Linked DNA regions of Bombyx mori. Each later gene encodes a partner of the first gene's protein in a complex. Links are inferred from orthologs where the notes say so. Each region holds a gene or a part of one and is shown on either strand. Other genes may lie near its edges.

Region 1 (7,256 bases):
GACGTAACTTCTCGGAATCCTCCAAAAAGTCTACTGAATAAATCTCAGTAAATTACCACCATTTTACTGAGATTATATTTCATCCCATATCATCTCATATCATTTCATTTAATTTCATCCCAGCTGATTAGTCTCAAATTAATCACCTTCATTTCATTTCACTCCATATTATAATTTTTCACAAAAATATCCCATCTCATATCATCACATTTTATTTCATTTCATGTCATATTTCATATTAATCAAGTTCATTCCATTTCACAATATCATATTGTACAAAAAAAATATATAGAAAAGATTAGGATGTATGGTATGATACCTTTGTCTTTCCATTTGGAAAAATAAATTTACTACTATGAAATCTCCATGGAGTTAATAAGTACCTACAACTGGAGTGCTGTCTAATGCCGAGAAATCGGTCTCGAAAGAGAATACTTTTTGGTCGCGGTGTCCTTGTCTAATGTGGTGACCATATAAAATTTATTTATAGGACAAAATTATACACATGCATCAGTTTTGAATTTACCTTATATTAAGTTATATATTATATTATATTATATTATATTATATTATATTATATTACGTTTATATTAAGTCTACTAGTTACATTTTAATAAATAAAACACAATGGGTAATAAAATGAAATGAACTGAAATTAATTTATTTGTTATATGTAGACAATTAAATAACTCTTAAATGACAAGTCAATACACATAACACAATACACATAGTACTTGATCTCTATTTACAAAATATTGGTTATATTATTATTATTAAGTTCAGTTAATTTTCTGTAGTCTTATTAGCCAGATATTGTTTCTTTTTATTTGTGTTTTTTATGTATCTTTAGCTTGTGATGTGTATTGTGAGCCTAATAAAATAAATAAATAATATAACATTTCCCCTATTTTATGTAAATTCTTTTTTTTTCAACGAAATAAATAATTTATTTTAGTCAATATCTAAGTGGACCATGAGTATCATTAAAATTTCGCAATTTAAATTTCAATTCAATTAAAAATCGCCATTTTTCTTTAATAAATCTAAAATCGACTTTATATTTACAATCACTATTTCGCGACTTTTAAGTTTTTGTTTCAAAACCTTAACATCTTGTCGTAATTTTGCTTTTCTCGGGGCATTTTTTATTTCTTGCGTTTGAGTACTTGATTCCTCTTGTTTGACCTTTATATAGGACATTTTCCAGAAATTCCAACGTCATATTTACTAGAAGATCCTCCTCGTTCGCTTGACGTCAGGCAAATGATATACATGCTTGCGTGCGACGCTATTCAATACAATAAACAAAGTCAAAAAAATACCACGTGATTCCTCTTATAATATGAAAAATACATTGCAAAATTATAGTTTTTCACGATTGTTTTTTCAAATTTAATATATGACATAGATTAAGTACAATTTACAAGACAAATGGTATTAAATATTATTATGAGAAAAAATATCTAACATTTTAAAAATATATACTCACACTAGTAAAAATTTATCAATGAATCTGATATATGGAAGGATATTCCACAAACTGGAGAGGATTCTCGCTTAAAACCACTTACAATACAAGTGTTCGCCATGATTACACGGAAACTTTCACGATTTTCGGAAAAAAACAAGCCACAAGCTGTATCAGTGCCCTTTTAACTTCGAACTACAAACGTAAATAGACGCCATTTTTCTTTTAATCCATTCATAGCTCTTTTTCGGTGATGCCAACAATTAATCTGGCTTCCCATGAAAACCATCAGAAATCTACTTACCTACCATTAAATTTTCCATTAAACAGAGTTCTTATTAATATAGAACAATATTTTTTTTGTTAATGAGCTTTATTAATATATGATGTTCTAATAAAAATCAATATATATCATATAATCAATACTTCTTATATAATTTATTTTAATAAATTGTCATCATCAGCAACTAATTTCACCATGACTTTGTACGTTTCTTTTGAACCAATTTAATTTTTGACGTTGATGGAAATTCTAAATTCTCGCAGCATTTTCTAGTTAAGTTTAAGTCACATCGTTTAAATAATATGTATTTAGATATATTATTGTCATAAAATGTTTAAAATCCTGTAAAGTGGATTGATTTTAACCTTTTCGATAATTTTCAACAACGCCCTAAAGGATAAGACGTCCGGTGCATTCGTATGAAGCGATGCACCGGTGTTCGAATCCCGCAGGCGGGTACCAATTTTTCTAATGAAATACGCACTCAACAAATGTTAACGATTGACTTCCACGGTGAAGGAATAACATCGTGTAATAAAAATTAAACCCGCAAAATTATAATTTGCGTAATTACTGGTGGTAGGACCTCTTGGGAGTCCACACGGGTAGGTACCACCACCCCACCTATTTCCGCCGTGAAGCAGTAATGCGTTTCGGTTCGAAGGGTGGGGTAGCCGTTGTAGCTGTACTGAGACCTTAGAACTTGTATCTCGAGGTGGGTGGCGCATTTACGTTGTAGATGTCTATGGGTTCCGGTAGCCACTTGACATCAGGTGGGCTGTGAGCTCGTCCACCTATCTAAGCAATAAAAAAAAAGCCCAAGCTACTACTGATACTACTGATAACTAAGACAGGGGTCCAAATTACGAGATTTTGTGGAAAATCCTCTAAGCTAGCAACACTGCTTTTTGTTTGTAAAATGTGCGAGAGGGACACCACCACTTAATAGTCATTCTCTTTTCAGACCGTTTTTCCTTACATCTTTTGCTATTTAAAAATAAACTTTAAGCCATAGAGATAAAGTATATTTTTAGTTTTTATGTCAAACGAAGTAAGCACTCCAGTTAGAATAGTAACTCTATGGAAATCTCAAATAAATTATATGTTTAATCTATGACTGAAATTAAAAAGGTTAAACCAGACTTTTTGGCGGGAACGCGAGGAGTGCAGTTGTGTGATTTGTTTTATTTTGTCTATTTAGTGTTTCTTCGGGTTTAAATGTGTAATAATGGTGGTTTATTAACTGTTTAATATCTGTGAAAGTGCACAAATGTGGGAAAATGAAACAAAGCTGCTGGACGTAACTTCTCGGGTTCCTCCAAAAAGTCCACTGAAAAAATCTCAGTAAATGACCACCATTTTACTGCGATTATATTTCATCCCATATCATCTCATTAAATTTCATCCCAGTTGATTAATGTCTCAAATCAATCATCTTCATTTCATTTCACTCCATATTATCATTTTTCATAAAATAAGATTATAAATTAAAATAAGACATGACTTAAAGGTCTTAGTTACCAGGTCATAAAATCTTTTAAAAAAAAAAAGGTTAAACCAGGTTAAACATTGTTTTTTTCGGTTTTGTACTACAGTTTAATATTCTATGAAGAAAGATTATTATAGAATTAAGAACGGAATTCAATGGAATCCACTGTGTCAGTTTCAAAGGTAAAGTATTTTTTTTATTTACTGCTTAAAAGTAATGAAATATTACTGTTTGAGAGATAGAATAATTAATTTTAATTGTTTTTCAAATTACAGGGAGTGTTTTTATTTCCAAATGGATTTCAAAACTCGAAAACTCTTTCAAAGAAAAAAACAAATTTATTGTTTTGTAAATTATTTCAAGAAGAGTGTTGGTATCTTACTTATAGAAAAAATTGGGAAGCTATTAAAACTAAATTAAATGTAAGTTGAATTCAGAAAATACTGAAAAGCTGTTCGGTCATACAGCCATGAAAAAAAACTTTGTCTTGTAAAAACTTATACAGTTATGTCTTAAGCTTCAATTAAGAGCTACTAAAGATAACTATAATTCAGGAGACTACTAAATATTGTTATTTCCATATTTAAAAAAAATCATACAACTCTTTTGTGTCTTTTATTGTAGCCTTTTCATAGATTTTTAATTTGATGTAAAGCAAAAATTGGAGTAGTAGTAAATTGTGGTAGTTACTATTTTCAAATGTGTCCTGAATACATCTAAACCATCAAAACCCTAGCAGCAGATTGAACTCAGGTCACTTTATACCTATAGTAACCTACCCAACTTATAGTATCACCTTAATGAGCTTCTCATCCATTGTTGTTGCCATAAATGTTACTTTCTATAAGTAATTGTTTATACTATGTGTACCTGGCCTTAGTTGTTTTGATTTTGCTCCAGTGATTTTATTACTTGGATATTTTAACTTTCAATTCCAACAATAGTTGGATAATTCAGAATATTGAATAAGGCTTGTGCATTGATTTTTTTATATTAAGTGCTGCTTATTCTTACATGAATAAGGAATAAAACATTTTTCAACATGTATGTGTATATCTTTTAAAGGAACTCAATCAAAGGTCTTACAGTGTGCTGTTGAATGATATAGTAAATTATATAAAGCAGTTTTATGGAAGTGAAGAAGCATTTATGTTGGAAGGAATAATTCCTAGCGCAACACTACTAACTGGGGTTAGTCAGCCTGATCATGTATCACAATTTGATGCACTCATAAATATAATAAAGTAAGTGGTGCCAACTATAATAATTGCATGTAGCCAAATGAGCAAATATTAATAGCTGTAATATATTAAGACTAAAAGTATATAGTATGATAAAATGAAATATGGAGATAAAAATGAATGAAATAAAATTCAGGATACAGTTATTTGAAAATTCAAATTGATGATAAATTACAATTGCATTTATTACCACACCATGTTTATTTATTTGCTTTTAATATCATATGCCTACAGATTAAGCATAGCAAAGTTTCATTGTCTACTACACATTTACTTAATTTTAGGACTGAAAGAAAAATTAAAGAAATAGCCTAAATAAGACTTGCTCAATCCCGAACCATAAACCTCATAAACTGGTAGTCATAATCAGTTCATTCCGGAATGCAAGGGACTGTTTATTAACTTTAAAAATTCTTACAGAGATGAAATAAGTCCTCATGTGGCAATAGTTAATTCACAAGATTCGTTATCATTAAAACATATAGTTGAGAACATGGTTTGGCAGTTGATTGGGAATGATTTAGTAAGTGATGTCAATCTATTTAGAAATGTTTTTGTAACACCAATATATTTTACTAGTTGTATTGTGACTTCTATGAGATATGTAAGTGGCTTACAGGCTAACAACAGAGAGACAACTCTTTCATCACAGTGCTTGGTATCAAAGTACTGGATCGAGATACTGCCAAGTTGACATTTAAAATGTTGGTAGTTCTGAATAGAACCAAGAAGCACACCTGCATACAGACCTATGTCATATAAATCCCATGTTCATCTCACATGAATTACATAGCAGCTACTTTCATTTGACTCATTACATAAGGTCATTTGTTTTTATAAATGGTTTGAATCATCAGGATCTATGAAAGCTCTTTAGCTCTCTGTTTATCGTATGATTCATAGGGAGTGCTCTGAGGATTTTTTGTTTTTATCGCCTGTAGGCGCAAAAGCATACAGCTGGTGAGTGATTACCGTCATTCATAGACATCAGCACTGCCAGGACAGAGTTTGCTAGAGGCAGCCACTCCCTACAAGTTTGAGATGATCTGGTCATCTTTATGCCATCATACTGCCGTGACTGGAGCAGAGCTCTCCTATATTATCTAGAATCACTGCGTTTATCCCTAGTGCGTTTCCAATGATATTTTTCGGCACTTACCGTACAGCTTTGGAATGAAATTGTCTACACAATAATTCCTGATTACTATGACATGCTCTTCTTCGAGTGAAGTTTAAGGAAAGGACTCGGCAGTAGTTGTGCCTTTGACATTGCTAAAGTTCGCGAGCGACGCGGCGACGGCGACAAAAGCAATAAAAAAAGAAACTGAATAATTTAATTTTTCTCCTACCTATGCCGAAAGTTCGGTTTTCTTCCCGCTGTACATGGAAGAAATAGTAACTTTTCCTCCCTGGGTACAAGTGCGCATGCGCGTTAGTGTCTACGTCTGCTCTCACGCACCTATAATTCTCCGTCATTGTTGTGCTCGGGTAATTTGCAATATTGTGTTTAGTGTAAAAGTGAAGTAAACTAAAGGCAATAAAATATAATAGTGAAGTATTAAACAAAGATGAATTCATCAGACAGTTCTTATTCAATTAGTAGTACTTTATTTAAAAATTAAAAAACAGTTAAATTGTTTTGTTATGAGTATGAGGGGGCTCCGCCCCCCTTACCTCCTGCCAGGGCTTCGCCTCTGGACCCCGGCTCGGTACTCCACGAACTTTCGGCCTGGTAGGAGAAAAAATAGTATGTGCACCGCGGGAAAAAAGTAGGGCATCTCATCCCGCGTGTTTGCCTCTTTTCTTCATTGTATTTGTTTTGTATTAAAATTTGTATATGAAATCTTTACATTTTTTTTAGTTTTATAATTTTCTATTCTAATGTTTATTACAAATAAAGTTTCGTAAATTATTAATAAGAGTCAAAGTAACTGCGACCCGCCAAAAAAAATTAAAATTTGAATTGGACCATTGATTAAAAACGTTGCTCACCCTTGTTATAATGTAATGTTTACTGTTATTTGTTTCTGTTTGCAGAAAAATGACGAAGAATGCGATGTATTATCAACAAAACATAAATTAAAAAAGAGTCAATGTACAATGAAAACCCTGAAAACGTGGTACCATTCAAAATATACAAATGAATCTACTAATAAGAAGAAAAAATCAATTTCGACAAAGACATTAGTAATAGTAATACCTGATTTTGAAAGCTTTAATTGTCACTTGTTACAAGATTTTGTAATGATAATAAGGTAAAAGTATTTTTACTAACTTCATATATATCAAATTCATGTAATGGAAACTAAAAATTGAAATCAATATTTAAATCTACATCATTACTCACAGTAGTAGATTATTATGATAGTAGTATAGTATAGTAATAGTTATAGATACAATTAAATTAAGAGTTCGATCGCATGTATAGTGGCGTCAGTCACTTAATTTCATAAGAAATATAGTAAGATTAGTAAGCTATCTGCTGTAAAATAAGAAAAATATATAATTACAATAGTAGAAATATGTCAAAAAAAGTATTACAATTTCTACTGGTAATAAATATAGTTTTAAATGAATGTCTAATATAGTATAATATAAAATAGTTACTCAATTTATTTCAGTTCGTACATATCTTCCTTGCCCATAGTGCTTGTTTTTGGGGTGGCAACATCTGTTTCGGCATTGCACAAGTCTTTCCCATATGAGGTGTCATCGAAACTTTTAATAAAAGTTTTTCATTCACATTCGTCTGCGGTTTATATGAATCAGGTTAGT
Region 2 (6,727 bases), on another chromosome or scaffold:
CAAGGTTCGGTGCTCTCCCCCACGCTTTTCATCCTGTATATCAATGACATGCTGTCTATTGATGGCATGCATTGCTATGCGGATGACAGCACGGGGGATGCGCGATATATCGGCCATCAGAGTCTTTCTCGGAGCGTGGTGCAAGAGAGACGATCAAAACTTGTGTCTGAAGTGGAGAACTCTCTGGGGCGAGTCTCCGAGTGGGGTGAATCGAACTTAGTTCAATTCAACCCGTTGAAGACACAAGTTTGCGCGTTCACTGCGAAGAAGGACCCCTTTGTCATGGCGCCGCAATTCCAAGGAGTATCCCTGCAACCTTCCGCGAGCATCGGGATACTTGGGGTCGACATTTCGAGTGATGTCCAATTTCGGAGTCATTTGGAAGGCAAAGCCAAGTTGGCGTCCAAAATGCTGGGAGTCCTCAACAGAGCGAAGCGGTATTTCACGCCTGGACAAAGACTTTTGCTTTATAAAGCACAAGTCCGGCCTCGCGTGGAGTACTGTTCCCATCTCTGGGCCGGGGCTCCCAAATACCAGCTTCTTCCATTTGACTCCATACAGAGGAGGGCCGTTCGAATCGTCGATAATCCCATTCTCGCGGATCGTTTGGAACCTTTGGGTCTGCGGAGGGACTTCGGTTCCCTCTGTAGTTTGTACCGAATGTTCCATGGGGAGTGCTCTGAGGAATTGTTCGAGATGATACCGGCATCTCGTTTTTACCATCGCACCGCCCGCCACCGGAGTAGAGTTCATCCATACTACCTGGAGCCACTGCGGTCATCGACAGTGCGTTTCCAGAGGTCTTTTCTGCCACGTACCATCCGGCTATGGAATGAGCTCCCCTCCACGGTGTTTCCCGAGCGCTATGACATGTCCTTCTTTAAAAGAGGCTTGTGGAGAGTATTAAGCGATAGGCAGCGGCTTGGCTCTGCCCCTGGCATTGCTGAAGTCCATGGGCGACGGTAACCACTCACCATCAGGTGGGCCGTATGCTCGTCTGCCTACAAGGGCAATAAAAAAAAAAAAAAAAAAAATTCTCAAACCTCCAACAAACTTTCACGACCAGATGAATAATACCAGGGACACATGCGACACATCTACCACCCAACCCCAAGCTGGGATTCTTTTTTTGAGGGATTACTGGTGGCCCGGAGGCCTTTCCAGTTTCACCAGGACAGGTGGGCGAGCACGCGCTCAGCCAAGAGGGGTGGGATTTACTAACAGCTACCCGAGCGCCTCCAAAGGAGACCTAACCACTCGACAGTAGCTGCTTCGTGAATGAATTTTTGTATTTTTAAGTTATTTAAATTTTTTTGTGGGTAATTTCTTTCTGAATTCCTTAGCTTTTTTTGAAAAATATGTAAAATTAAGCTCAGCACCAAAGTGATTATTAATAATGATTGAGGCGCCGAGTGATCGGAAACTATAAATAATTGGAGACGTGGTTAATAAGAAATACAAAAACCGCGTGATAAATCGGTAAAAAGAGTTCTAATTAAGTCTTGGCTCGCGTAGTCCAACAGATGTGTGTTGCATTACACATATTTGTTTTAATAAATTTTTTGGACTGAAGGTTGCAGATGGGAGACGAGATGTCTAAACGCAAGAAATTTATGTTCATGACGTGGGTAGGACCGAACGTGTCTGTGATCAACCGAGCCAAGATGTCCACCGACAAAGCTATCATCAAGGACATCATATCGGTTCGTATAAGCCCATTTTATTTTTGGATAAGTTCTTCCCCCGCGTGCTTACAGCTTCTTTTTGTTCAATCCTAAACATCTCCCTAAATTAATCACGAAATTGAAAAAAAAATTATCAAAAAAATTGTTCCGAATTGCAGGATGTGCCAGCTATTTTAATAATACGGATTGGACTTTGACCTCATTTTTCAAATTGGTTGGAACCATGGACCATGAGCTCATTTACCCATATAAGTACTAAAAATCAAATTGTTTCAGAAAAATGTTTATTAGAGAAATATGTATCGCAACTTGACAGCAATACATCAAATAAAATCATACAAATATTTTCTAATGTTAAAACCGACAGTCTGAGCAATGGCTGAAATGAAATCATAGCCAACAATACATTTATATTTTGCTGTATCTAAATCTATCTCTTTGCTTCCCGCTATCAATTTTAGCTCAACTAATGTCGCTATTTGTGCCAACAGATTGCTGGTTAAACCGATCTTATCTTCTAAGATAGCATAGAATATTGCCAACAATCGATCTAAAGTAAAAACTTTAGGACCGAGCTGTGTACTTAATTTTTCATTAATTTTAGCCTTTGCTTTGATTTGTCTCATTTGTTTACGTTGTTTCCCGTGGTTCTTCATAAACAATCTCTTGTCTTCTTTGGGCGGATTGTAGCTAGCCAAATATGCTGCAATTAGTAAGTATTTCGCAAAGTATGGTAGTTCGAAGCTTTGTGCAAATGTTTTTGTAGAAGAAAGTTCATCTTTTAACGTTTTCTCCAGACAGAATTCTTTGGCATATAAGCTTTCACTGTTTTCTTTACCCGGTGAAGGTTTGAATTGCCTCATATCACTAATTCTTAAGTATAAAAGTTCTAGGCTTGTTTTCAAGATTGGTGAGATGTGTCTCCACAATTTAGTTAGATCATTTGATTGTATTTCACCTTTTATGATTGGTTCACAGTATTTGATGAAGTTTAGGCGTGCCATATGCTTTAATTCAATAAGGTCTCGACATGGCCTATAGAATACACTCAAGAATGCATTCAAGAAGTTTGCAAATAACTCTGGTTTTTCAATTAGTTCTGTTGTTTCATCTTCTATGTCAAAATGGTTCAGCAAATGCTGTACAAATGATTTTTGGTAGAGAAATATTATCCTGAATAACTCTTCTTTGTTATAGTTAGGGAAGTAGAGTTTTATGGGCTCTCGTACACCGAATTTGAAATTAAAATTTTCGAATATCAAATGCGTCACCAATATCGTGCAGATGTTCAATTTACAAAATTCTCTAAGCTTTAGTAGCACTGGCAAGAGGTTCTGATCCATGTTGCGTAGTCTCTCGACTCTATCGAATACAATTACTATTGGTTCATAATTATTTTGAAGCCGGTTCAAACAGTTTATAAAATCCATGAAATTTTCACATTTCACGTCCTCGTCTTCATCGTTGAGGGCAGACAATATGTTCTCGAACATTATCTTTGACGAATAACACTCGATACAGTCGACAAATACATGTTTATAACTTAAATAATTGAGAACAGTTTGTAAGCATAACGTTTTGCCGGTTGCCATACTTCCACTTATAAAAATAGAACACGGCAATGGTTCGTTGTCATCTCCGAATAAATTGAACAAATCGTTTAACTGATTCTCTCTGCACACAACTTTACTGTATATTTCATCCATTTTAATATAATTTATTTTATTTACGTAAGCTTTTGTGTTAATTCAATTCTATAACGTATGTTCAGGTTTGACATTTTTGCGCACATTCCAATTTTGACAACTTTGAACTTTGTAAATTTCATTTGATAGTCTGTGCTTCAAATAAAGTGCCGGCTTAGTACGACGAATATTGAGAATCAAAAAAGATACCTACTTTAATTCGTTTTATTCGTAATTCATTTGGATTTAAAATTAATTATTAGAACCTTGTTTTATTAATATTTTATTATTATCAGACAGATATTGACAGACACAAATATATAAAAAAATAATTTGAAATTAGGAAGGTCTAGTTTCACTCACCTTTCAATTTCAATGCTAGTTCTCAATTAACTAGTTTTTATTATGTTTCAGAACTTTGCTGTGGAGTTGCAACTTGAAAATCAGTCTGAGATAGACATCGACCAATTCAAGGATGCACTCAATAGGGCAGGGGGAGCGAACTACGGCACTGGCGTTAGAGATTTATGAATAGAAAATGTTTGCCCCGCACTTGCCACATGGAATTTTAAACGAATATTGTCTCTTTCATTCTATTATATAAATAATGAGTGCAAAGATACAATATTATACATAAAAATATTTTACAAGTGGATTTTAGGACTTATATTTTAATTGGGGCCGTGGCTTGGCCATTTTTGTAGTCGAGCAATAATTCATTAGTCATTTTTATTATCTTGTGTCAAATTGATCACATTTTTAATCACGTATAGAAATTCATTATTTATTTTTCAAAAATACACATGTTATATAATATTCTTCAGTGTAGTTTTAATAAGGATTTACCAAATAAAAAGTAGATAATCTGTCGTGCATTTTAGTAAGCGCGGTGAACGCATTTATTTTTTACTTAAAATTTTTAAAAATCTTTAATACTAAATTGAATTTAATGTAAACAAGCTTTTTATACATTGACTAGTAATGTAAATTGATATCAATAAAACCATGATTTCCAATATATTTTTTGTTTCATTCCGGTGTGTCAGAAACTTTGAGTGTCGGCGTTTTCGTTTGCTTGCGATGTTTTTCAAATTATTGAAGACTAACGGAATGTTACTTTGGTAATAAATATTTCTACCAGAAGAGGAATCTGTTAAATACCCATCCATTTTCGTAGATTCAACTCATGTTCGCAAAGTCAGTATTTTCAACGACCATCATCATTTCACTAGGAAGTTTATAAGATATTTGAGGCGGTCAGCGCAAAAGTGCCTTAACCCACAATTCATATTCGTCTTTATGTATTGCAATTTATTTAATACATAATAAATTTTGATGCAAAATCGCCCAAGTTTCACACAGATAACAGATGCCTTTGTAAACATTATTTTTGGACGTATTTTTTGGCTGGCGAAGTATTGTAAAGATAAATTCAAATCTCAATATCTCCATAATAACTATGGTAAGCTTAGACCACTTTTGCGCTGACGGACCTCATTTATACTATACATTAACAGTAAGATATTTGCCGATGATAAGTACCTCTCAGCGGATCTACGCGTATCCTAGGTCATATCATACGGAATAAAACAACAATGGCTACCCAAATATTAAGTTTTTTATTTTGCAAAAAAAAAAGAATAAAATGTTAGAATAGTGATCGGTAATACCACATAGTTCCTTAATAAAAATATAAGGTGACACTGCGACTTGGTTCTGATGGAACACATTTATTTACTTATTACTAAAAAAAAAAATCTGCCTTTTAATTTGGCTACTAAATATATTCATGGTCTTTAATTGAAAAACAACAGATTTTTTATTTAATTCATCACATTAAGGCAATGAATCAGCAAGTGAATTATTTTTCAGATTTGAACAACAAATGAGTCGTCTATTATCAAAGGTGGCAATCTGTGCATTTGAACAAGAAAATGTTATTGATATGTCAATACAGATTGATTTGAATATAATCGTCTCCTTCAAAGAATACGGTTCAAAACCTGCATTAAATAAAGGTTAATACTTAACCTGTTATTTATCTAAGATCTCGTTCAGAAGAGTTTTGTGGCTGCCAATGGAATACAAAGTCAATAATTCGTTTTTCTGATTTACCAATAATTGTCCAAAAGTCACATTGCCGGCTTTGATAATAGTCGACTCAAATAGTTGAAGGATACACAAAACCCTGTATTCTAGATAAGCATTAAAATACTTCCCACGCTATTTTCACTTACAAATACATTAATATAGTACAACATTACATTTTGTATAAGTTGAACGAGATGGTAACAATTTTACAAACAACAGTTTTATTGTACATTAATTAAATTACTTAATATTGCTTATTCGTTTTATTTTAAGGCGCTTTTTCAATGCGGATCAAATGCATACAAAAATTATTAATGTTAAAATATTATCACCCCACATCGCTCATTTTGGAAGGTCGTTTAGAACAAAATTATGTTTGTACCTAAATAAATATAATGGATAATAATTATAAAAAAATAATAAAAAAAATCTGATTTTTGTTTAGTACTCTCTATTTTCTTAAGAAGCTCGTTGGTTCGCGTTGCTGGCAGCGACACTTCGCTACAGACCTTTTTTTTTTTATATTTACAGTAATTCCCCCTATTACACGGTAGATTGGTTCCGCGTTATAGGAAACGCGTTGTAGTATTCACAAAAAACGCTTTTGTATGACCCCATATAACGCGTTATATACAAAAAATATATATGTACATATATAATACAATAATGCCAATGTTTTTACAATTCAAAAACTAGGAACAAAAATTGAATAAATTAATTTAATTTATTTTTATAACAACACAATTGACACAATGTGCAAAGGTACGCCAAATTCATTATGAACTGTACAGATATTAAATTTCACAGTACAGAAATATAACGTTACAAATCCCAGCGTTATATGGGGGAATGCCCGTGTTATACTAGGGACTGAAATCGCGTTATATGAAAATACATTATAAGGGTACCGTGTTATAAGGGGCATTACTGTATATCTATGCGCTATATCGCTGTGTCATACAAAAAATCATACCGATGCTAAATTGAGGGTACGAACTGGTTTCAACGTCGCTATGGAACTCGGGCTGTGGTGAGCTCCGGTGATCACTGGTGATCACTTAACGCCAGTTGGGCCGTTACCTTGAGGCATGAGGTCTTCCAGCCCGGAAGGCATGCCAGCTTCCCGACCGATATGTGTCAGGTCGGGCCTCCCTACTACCGGCTACTGACATAGTCAATAACATGAACCAATGAACATTTTGACTGACTTAAAACAATATTATCAAAATCGATGCTGTACATTGCGTGCTGATTGAGCCCTTTGAA
Region 3 (7,226 bases), on another chromosome or scaffold:
GAATACGGTTCAAAACCTGCATTAAATAAAGGTTAATAGTTAACCTGTTATTTATCTAAGATGTCGTTCCGAAGAGTTTTGTGACTGCCAATGGAATACAAAGTCAATAATTCGTTTTTCTGATTTACCAATCATTGTCCAAAAGTCAGATTGCCGGCTTTGATAATAGTCGACTCATTTAAAGGTCATTCCAGACTTAAGACCACACAAACAAACAAACTTATACTATGATCCCAGGAATGGGCTGATCAAATATGGATAGCTGGTATGTTATATGCTGGTGAAGTAAAGAGATATACCAGTGAAGTCTCTCACTAAAATCTTGGCTCTCAAAAAACAAAACTCCATAAATTCTAGACTTGTTTAAACATCTAAAGCCAGACTAATAGTTTCCTACCAAATATGGCTAGGCAGGGAGAGAATGGGGAGAATGAAGATAAGTATAATGAACATAGATAGGGGCTCCTTAAATTTACGCTAGGGTCACAAATCCAGTGTCATTCTCAACCTCCTCTCTCAATAACACAATGGACCTGTGTAGTGAATCCATAAATTGTTAGTTTTATTTATTAGTCTCATATGTATCACAATAGTAAGAATGTTGTGTGTGGACTTTTATGCATGGAAAACAAACAGTCATAATACAATGCATAAAACAGGACTTACAAAATATAAAAGTTAATATTCTAGCCTACATACTTGCCTGTAAATTAAATGGAACAATGCGTTATTGGCTTGTGGATGATTCATAATTTTAATTAATCTGCACATAACATAGTCTCGACTGCAACATAAACTTTTATAATTTAATATTATTTTGTTTTACATTGTATCTTATGGCTGTTTGTTATCAATGTTTGTGGTCCCAAACAAGTTTATTTTGAAAACAAACTGTTGTAAACAATTCAGACCTGCCAATGCTATGCTTAACAACGGTGTTGTAATCTTACAACATAATGAAAATTGAAATAATACGCCACCTATCTGCTATACTTACTTTGAAATAGAAAACTGAAAATATCCTGGCTGAATAATTAATTAGTACAGGAGCTTGAAAATCGGCACACACGACAAAGCAGTGATCTGTGTCTCTAAGTTTCAAATCTTTTAGTCTAATACAATCGATCAACAAACACTTTTGTAAAACTATTTTTAAAAGACCATCGTGATAAGGCTCTCTAAACTCAAGTTCTTTGTGAATAAAATCTATACAAATGACACTTATTTTGTGTCTGTTGGATCATCTATGAATAAACATCAAGAAAGACAAAGAAAAAGATATTGTCAGTTAAATCAAAAAACTATCTCTGAACAGGTAGATACACAAATAATCTGTTCATTGCGTGCCTCAAACCATCTTCAAAATATTTTCTAAGTTTGGATCGATAGTGTTGTCCAATAGCTAAATTTCCTAATAATATAATACTATTTCACTTACTGATCTGAGTGAGACATCAATTTATATTAAGCTAAAAGAGTAACGTATCGATTCACTAAACACCGGTTTGCTGTGAAATTGCGGCATTGACTTTGAATAGTGGCCTTGAATGAATGCGGGTATGAGAATTCATGTCTGAAGGTAAACTTTGTGCATATTTTGGTGCTATGATGAAAATGTAATCATATTAATGATTCTGGCGTTAAGCTTAAATACTATAACTTACAATTTTTAAGCTTAAAGCAATATTGACTTCCTCTATTTAGGTACTTCTTTTTTTATAAAATTCAAAGCTGTGCCAAATTGCTGCTGCACTATAACATAATAATTTATAATACAAATTACATTGTGATTATTTAGGGCTCGTGTCTTGTGCGAATTTGCTAAATGAATTTAAGTGGTTGAAACCTGCTGCACTAATTAAAAACTCTCATTTCGGAAAACGCACGACGCTGCATCTATAATTCTGATATTCACATTGTTTTTCGAAAATATTTTCACTTTTTTCCATAAATGGTTGGGTGTTCAGCTACAATCCACGGTGCAATTTTTATAGTTAATAAACGAACGAATACGAAATAAAATTTTGAAAAACTTTGGTTTGTTCACTTTTTAAGTATAATTTTTTACGATCAACTTCTTAAGAAACAAATTGAATTAATTTCCAGATTGTCCCAATTTTCAATAATATGAACGGGTACACAAAAACCGTGGAATTTAAGGTCATGACGAGGACTAAAGATTTATTTTTAGAAATCGTCAAAATGCGAGAACGGGACAATACGAAGTTTTAGGCAATGTACACGAGAATTAAATCCAGGGATATGAATACAAATATTTCTTTGATCGGTTCAAGTTCACACGTTCTCCTATATTCATATGAAGAATACTTGTAACTACTATAAAGTGCTTAAATACTTAAGTTCAATAAATATTTCACGTTATAAGTTTTTAATTCTTAAGGGTGTGAACTAAAAATGTAACTATTTGTTAGAAGAAATTCGGAGCTATATCTCGATTTTCTTGTTATCATATGTTTCATTTAGTCTATTGATTAGATTTCACGAGCATGCGCTCTTTTACTTTCATGCCATAGACATTTTAAGAAGTATCATCTACTTTAAAAATTAACGTGCATACTCCTGAGTTACAAACACTTTTCTTTCATTTAAAAGAGTCACTGAGTACTTGCAACGTACAAGACTTAAAATTGACGCTATTATCTATTTTATTTAAACAGAACGAAACATGCCAATTTATTTTCAAAGTTTCTTTTCGATACATCATAAAAGCCATATTTACTTGTAAACTCAGCTTTATGCACATTTATAAACTAGGAGCAAAGTAGACAAAACGGGTGAATACGATTTAATCTCAAAATGTGTAGTTGACATACTTAGTATGGAGGGTAGAAATATCTTTACCTCCGTAATACTTAGTAGACTATGGTGAACAATCAGTAATCTCAAATATATTAAGTGTATAATCTATGGTGATTATTGAAGGACATCTCTAATTGACAGTGTCAACTGTCATGCTGTTTGATGTTTCTTGGGATGACATTTTATGCCGCGAAAATTTCTTTTTGAACTCATTTTAAATATTTATTAAATAATTTTATGCTTCGATGTATAAAGCTAAAACACTTCACAAAATAATCATAAATAACATTGTCTGAGAAAATGCGTGGATCAATGGATACAGACCCGTTGGCTATTCAAATAAAACTTGTAAGGAAGTACATAAAATTGAAATTAATAGAAGACAATGTATTGTTTCGGGGGCACGACCAGGAAAGAAATCATGTGTACGAATTATTAAGAAGAACTGTCTTACAAGGAGAATCGCATTCGGCTTTACTTATAGGGCCGAGAAGTAGTGGAAAAACCACTGTAAGTTCTTGTGCTTCAATATACAATTCGCGGATTTAATTTACAATATTTTTAAATTGTTTTATGTCCACCAGCTTAGCACAATATAGGTGATTGTGGCCGCTCTCAGCTCTTCATGTGACAGATACATATGTGATAGATAGGTATATATAATGCAGCAAGATTTAAGAGTGGTATGGTTTACTGTCAGTCTATTTGGGTAGGTATGTTGGATTCTGCCTATTTTTTATGAAGTAGCAGTGCATTCCAGCGTGGAAGCTAGGATGATTGTCAAACAATACAATTCTGAATTCTACCTGACCCATGAATGATATTTTTGTTCAGATCCCATCACTTTTATTATTTTCTTTATATTTTCTTTAATAATGTATTGCTAGTAGTACATAGCAACATACCTGCTATATCTTTATCTTTTCCAGAATTTCTGTATAGTTAAGTGGCTGTCTGGAAGAGATCTCTTGATGATGAGATGATAAGATTTGTACAAATGGATCTGCTTGTTGACTGTTTTCTATTGTTAATTGTGTTTTGGTGTGCATATAAAGTATATTCTCTCTCTCTCACTTTCTAGTTACAATTTAATATAAGGTGAAGCAAGGGCCTCTGTACAGAAAATGTTATCTGTTGTGACCTTTCAATAATGGTAAAACATTTCATTTCAGCTACTAAACTCGGTACTTCACCAGCTCTCTAGAGAGACAGATTTGGAGAATGATGCTATTATAATTCAACTGAATGGCCTTGTACATAGTGATGATAAACTGGCCCTTAAAGCTATCACAGCGCAGGTGATTGAGGCCTTTTTATGAATCTAATAAAAATGTCAAAAAGAATTCTATTAATGTTTGTTCAATTGTATTCCTGTATAGCAGGAAAGGTTTTTCTATTATATTTTGTTCTGAATAGGATAGTGAATTGTACTTAACTAAAGACCATTGTGTGTAATAGACTAGACCAGTGTTTCCCAACGTGGTGCCCATAGCCTACAAGTTGGCAATTTGATAATTAAGAAGGGCAATTGCATTAAATCAATAAAGAAAATTGTATTGAAATTATTTTATTATGCTAAAATTATGTATGGGGGGCATAAAAAATTTAAAAATGTTACAGTGGGGCATGGCACAAAAAAGGTTGGGAAACACTGGACTAGACTGTAATAATATGATAAACATGGTGGTTGACTCTTCACTAATGCATTGGATATGAGAAAAAAATCTGTAGCCAAGGTCTTGGTAGGGGGACAACACAATGGCAAAACCTTGGCCACTTTTGAAGCTTGACTACTGGTGTCTTAACCACAGTATAATTAAAGGCAGGCTTAACTAATCTGAATTAAATTGAAGCCTCACCAACTAAGATGGACTCACCTACACTATTCTTTACAGATGCAATTAGAAAATACTGTGGGTGAACGAGTTTTCGGTACCTTTGCCGAGAACCTCTCGTTTTTGTTAAGCTGCATCCAGACTGGTGTTGACAGACGATGTCGAAGCATGGTATTCATTCTAGACCAGTGTGACATGTTTTGCCACAGCGGTATCTCCCAGACATTACTGTATAACTTATTTGACGTAACTCATTCACAGACGGCTCCTATGTGTGTTATCGGTAAGTTCGCTGAGATTGTTTTTGTTGTTTTTCTCAGAATATGTTATAATATACGATTGAGACTGGCCTTTGGCATCACTGTGGTGATGGCATTAACATTGCTACAGTCCTTGCTTATCCTTTAATACATGTTGTGTAGGTTATCCATCATAGGCATTAAAATGCGACTTAATCTGCTTGTCACGTTTTAAAATTAATAATGTATCTTCACTTCATACTATCACACATCTATACTAATATATAAATCTACAGTGGTTTTTACGGATGTTCCATTATAACTACTGAACCATGCGTTCGATTGACATGAAAATTGGTATCCATGTAGAAAATACATGTACTTAATGGATAGGCTAATATTTATATGAGTGTTGGACTTACTGGTGGTAGGACCTCTTGTGAGTCCGCACGGGTAGGTACCACCACCCTGCCTATTTCTGCCGTGAAGCAGTAATGCGTTTCGGTTTGAAGGGTGGGGCAGCCGTTGTAACTATACTGAGACCTTAGAACTTATCTCAAGGTGGGTGGCGCATTTACGTTATAGACGTCTATGGGCTCCAGTAACCACTTAACACCAGGTGGCTGTGAGCTCGTCCACCCATCTAAGCAATAAATAAAAAAAATAAAAAAAACTTCCTACACCAGTTGCGGGGGCGTTAATGACGAGAATCTTTCTGGGGGTGAGAAATAATAATAATGCCTAGCTAGTCTTAAATATATTTGGTATTTGATGCCTACTTGTTTCTATGTGTCTTTCCATTACCATTAACACAGGAGAAATCCTTGCTCGAAGATGTTAAATCTTCATTTCATTAAATATCATGCTTCCTTACTGTGCACAGGTGTAACAAATCGCTTAGACATTATGGAGTTGTTTGAAAAAAGGGTCAAATCCCGTTTTTCCCATCGTCACATATTCATATTTCCTAATGAAGTCAATGATGATGACCGGTATGATATTATCTCGCCTCTGGAAGGGAGAAAGAGATTGTTTGTGGAATTGCTGAGTCTGCCCCTGGAGGGTTCTGTGTCGCCGAGGAAGAAAAGAAAATCAAGGAAGTCCATCGGTGAGCTAATATAATTGCTTACGTGATATTCTATACTAGATTATATTTCATCCCACTGCATTGAATGCGTGTCCGCACATGCCGCCTCATGCTTTGTCGCCGGAGAAGCAGTGGCCGGAAATCTAATATTTGTAAAGTAGATAATAAGTTTTGCTTACACATTGTTATTAGATACCTAGTTTTTTTTTTTCTGTATAGAAGGAAAGATGAATTAATTAATAATAATAATAATGATTAATAATGACTTTTTATTTTTTTATTGTTTATTTGGGTGGACGAGCTCAGAGCCCTCCTGGTGTTAAGTGGTTATTGGAGCCCATATACATCTACGATGTAAATGCGCCACCCACCTTGAGATATAAGTTCTAAGGTCTCAAGTTTAGTTACAACAGCTGCTCCGCCCTTCAAACCGAAACGCATTACTGCTTCACGGCAGAAATAGGCAGGGCGGTGCTACCTACTCGCGCGGACCCACAAGGAGTCCTACCACCAGTAATTACGCAAATTATAATTTTGCGGCTTTAATTTTTATTGCACGATGTTATTCCTTCACTCTTCACCGTGGAAGTCGATCGAGAACATTTGTTGAGTACGTATTTCATTAGAAAAATTGGTACCCGCCTGCGGGATTCGAACACCGGTGCATCGCTCGATACGAATGCACCGGACGTCTTATCCTTTAGGCCACGACGACTGTAAAATTAATGAACGAGCGAATGAATTTATGAATGAGACAAACAAATTTCACAGGTCTAGTCACTTTTGTTTTATAGAATACGATTTCCTTAATATTTTAAATTATTCTGTAGCAATGTAAATATCCTTAAAGGAGGTCTATATCCAGCAGTGGATGTCCAATGATTGATGTATCGATAAATAAATTAATTTAGTAACATTTTTTCAGCCAAAACTGATGAAACGGCCTGCACATCCACAGTCTTTGCAATACCAGAACATATATTAAAAGGGAAACTCGACGAGCAATGTTTGTCTACGATGGACCGAGCCTTTGTGAGCGACTGGAATGCCCATATCAGAAGTTTGATTGAAAACGAAAAAGTCATTGACGCTTTAGAGAAGCTATGTTACTATACCGTTGATGAGCAAACTTTTAGGAATGTTTTGGTAAGTTCGAACTTTATTGTATATTTTTTCCTGTACTTAATTGTTGGAAGTGCAAAGGATTATTTTAACAACACGAGGATGACTTGGCCTACGGCCTCA

What was found. The genes of interacting proteins can lie anywhere in the genome.
Region 2: the proteins of origin recognition complex subunit 3 (region 1) and ORC5 are in contact, whole or in part, in a crystal structure (PDB 4XGC), measured with the Drosophila melanogaster proteins. The link is inferred for Bombyx mori from reciprocal best matches to the Drosophila melanogaster genes Orc3 and Orc5. Residues at the interface, in NP_476904.1 of Drosophila melanogaster: Ile105, Gln107, Leu140, Lys141, Val144, Cys183, Thr184, Met185, Lys186, Gln187, Glu213, Cys214, Asp222, Leu225, Ile226, His230, Ala243, Thr244, His250, Tyr255, Ser258, Ser259, Arg262, Leu263, Ala270, Pro272, His302, Ile303, Leu305, Tyr306; in NP_477132.1 of Drosophila melanogaster: Ile72, Glu73, Tyr75, Ile79, Glu82, Asp86, Asp94, Arg130, Tyr291, Met292, Arg293, Ile294, Glu295, Leu319, Glu320, Leu321, Pro322, Tyr323, Tyr324, Ala325, Asp383, Leu386, Ala387, Tyr390, Val397, Leu399, Thr400, Cys401, Asn402, Leu403.
Region 3: the proteins of origin recognition complex subunit 3 (region 1) and origin recognition complex subunit 4 are in contact, whole or in part, in a crystal structure (PDB 4XGC), measured with the Drosophila melanogaster proteins. The link is inferred for Bombyx mori from reciprocal best matches to the Drosophila melanogaster genes Orc3 and Orc4. Residues at the interface, in NP_476904.1 of Drosophila melanogaster: Ala217, His250, Gly251, Leu253, Pro254, Tyr255, His256; in NP_477320.1 of Drosophila melanogaster: Lys395, Glu398, His399, Ile402, Lys419, Lys422.

Annotation. Positions count from the first base shown.
Region 1 is NC_085128.1:8,981,256-8,988,511, forward strand, and holds the start of origin recognition complex subunit 3, read left to right. Parts: upstream 1-2,882; 5' UTR 2,883-3,395; coding exon 3,396-3,422; intron 3,423-3,515; coding exon 3,516-3,662; intron 3,663-4,299; exon of another isoform or gene 4,300-4,305; coding exon 4,306-4,484; intron 4,485-4,901; coding exon 4,902-5,004; intron 5,005-6,518; coding exon 6,519-6,736; intron 6,737-7,102; coding exon 7,103-7,250; intron 7,251-7,256.
Region 2 is NC_085126.1:11,150,366-11,157,092, forward strand, and holds ORC5 (origin recognition complex subunit 5), read right to left. Parts: upstream 3,464-6,727; 5' UTR 3,392-3,463; coding exon 2,009-3,391; 3' UTR 1,953-2,008; downstream 1-1,952. Other genes in the region: cyclic AMP-regulated protein, read left to right, coding at 1,574-1,703, 3,785-3,901. UniProt on the Drosophila melanogaster protein: Component of the origin recognition complex (ORC) that binds origins of replication. DNA-binding is ATP-dependent, however specific DNA sequences that define origins of replication have not been identified so far.
Region 3 is NC_085108.1:2,850,102-2,857,327, reverse strand, and holds the start of origin recognition complex subunit 4, read left to right. Parts: upstream 1-2,974; 5' UTR 2,975-3,120; coding exon 3,121-3,330; intron 3,331-3,992; coding exon 3,993-4,118; intron 4,119-4,715; coding exon 4,716-4,938; intron 4,939-5,777; coding exon 5,778-6,002; intron 6,003-6,906; coding exon 6,907-7,127; intron 7,128-7,226.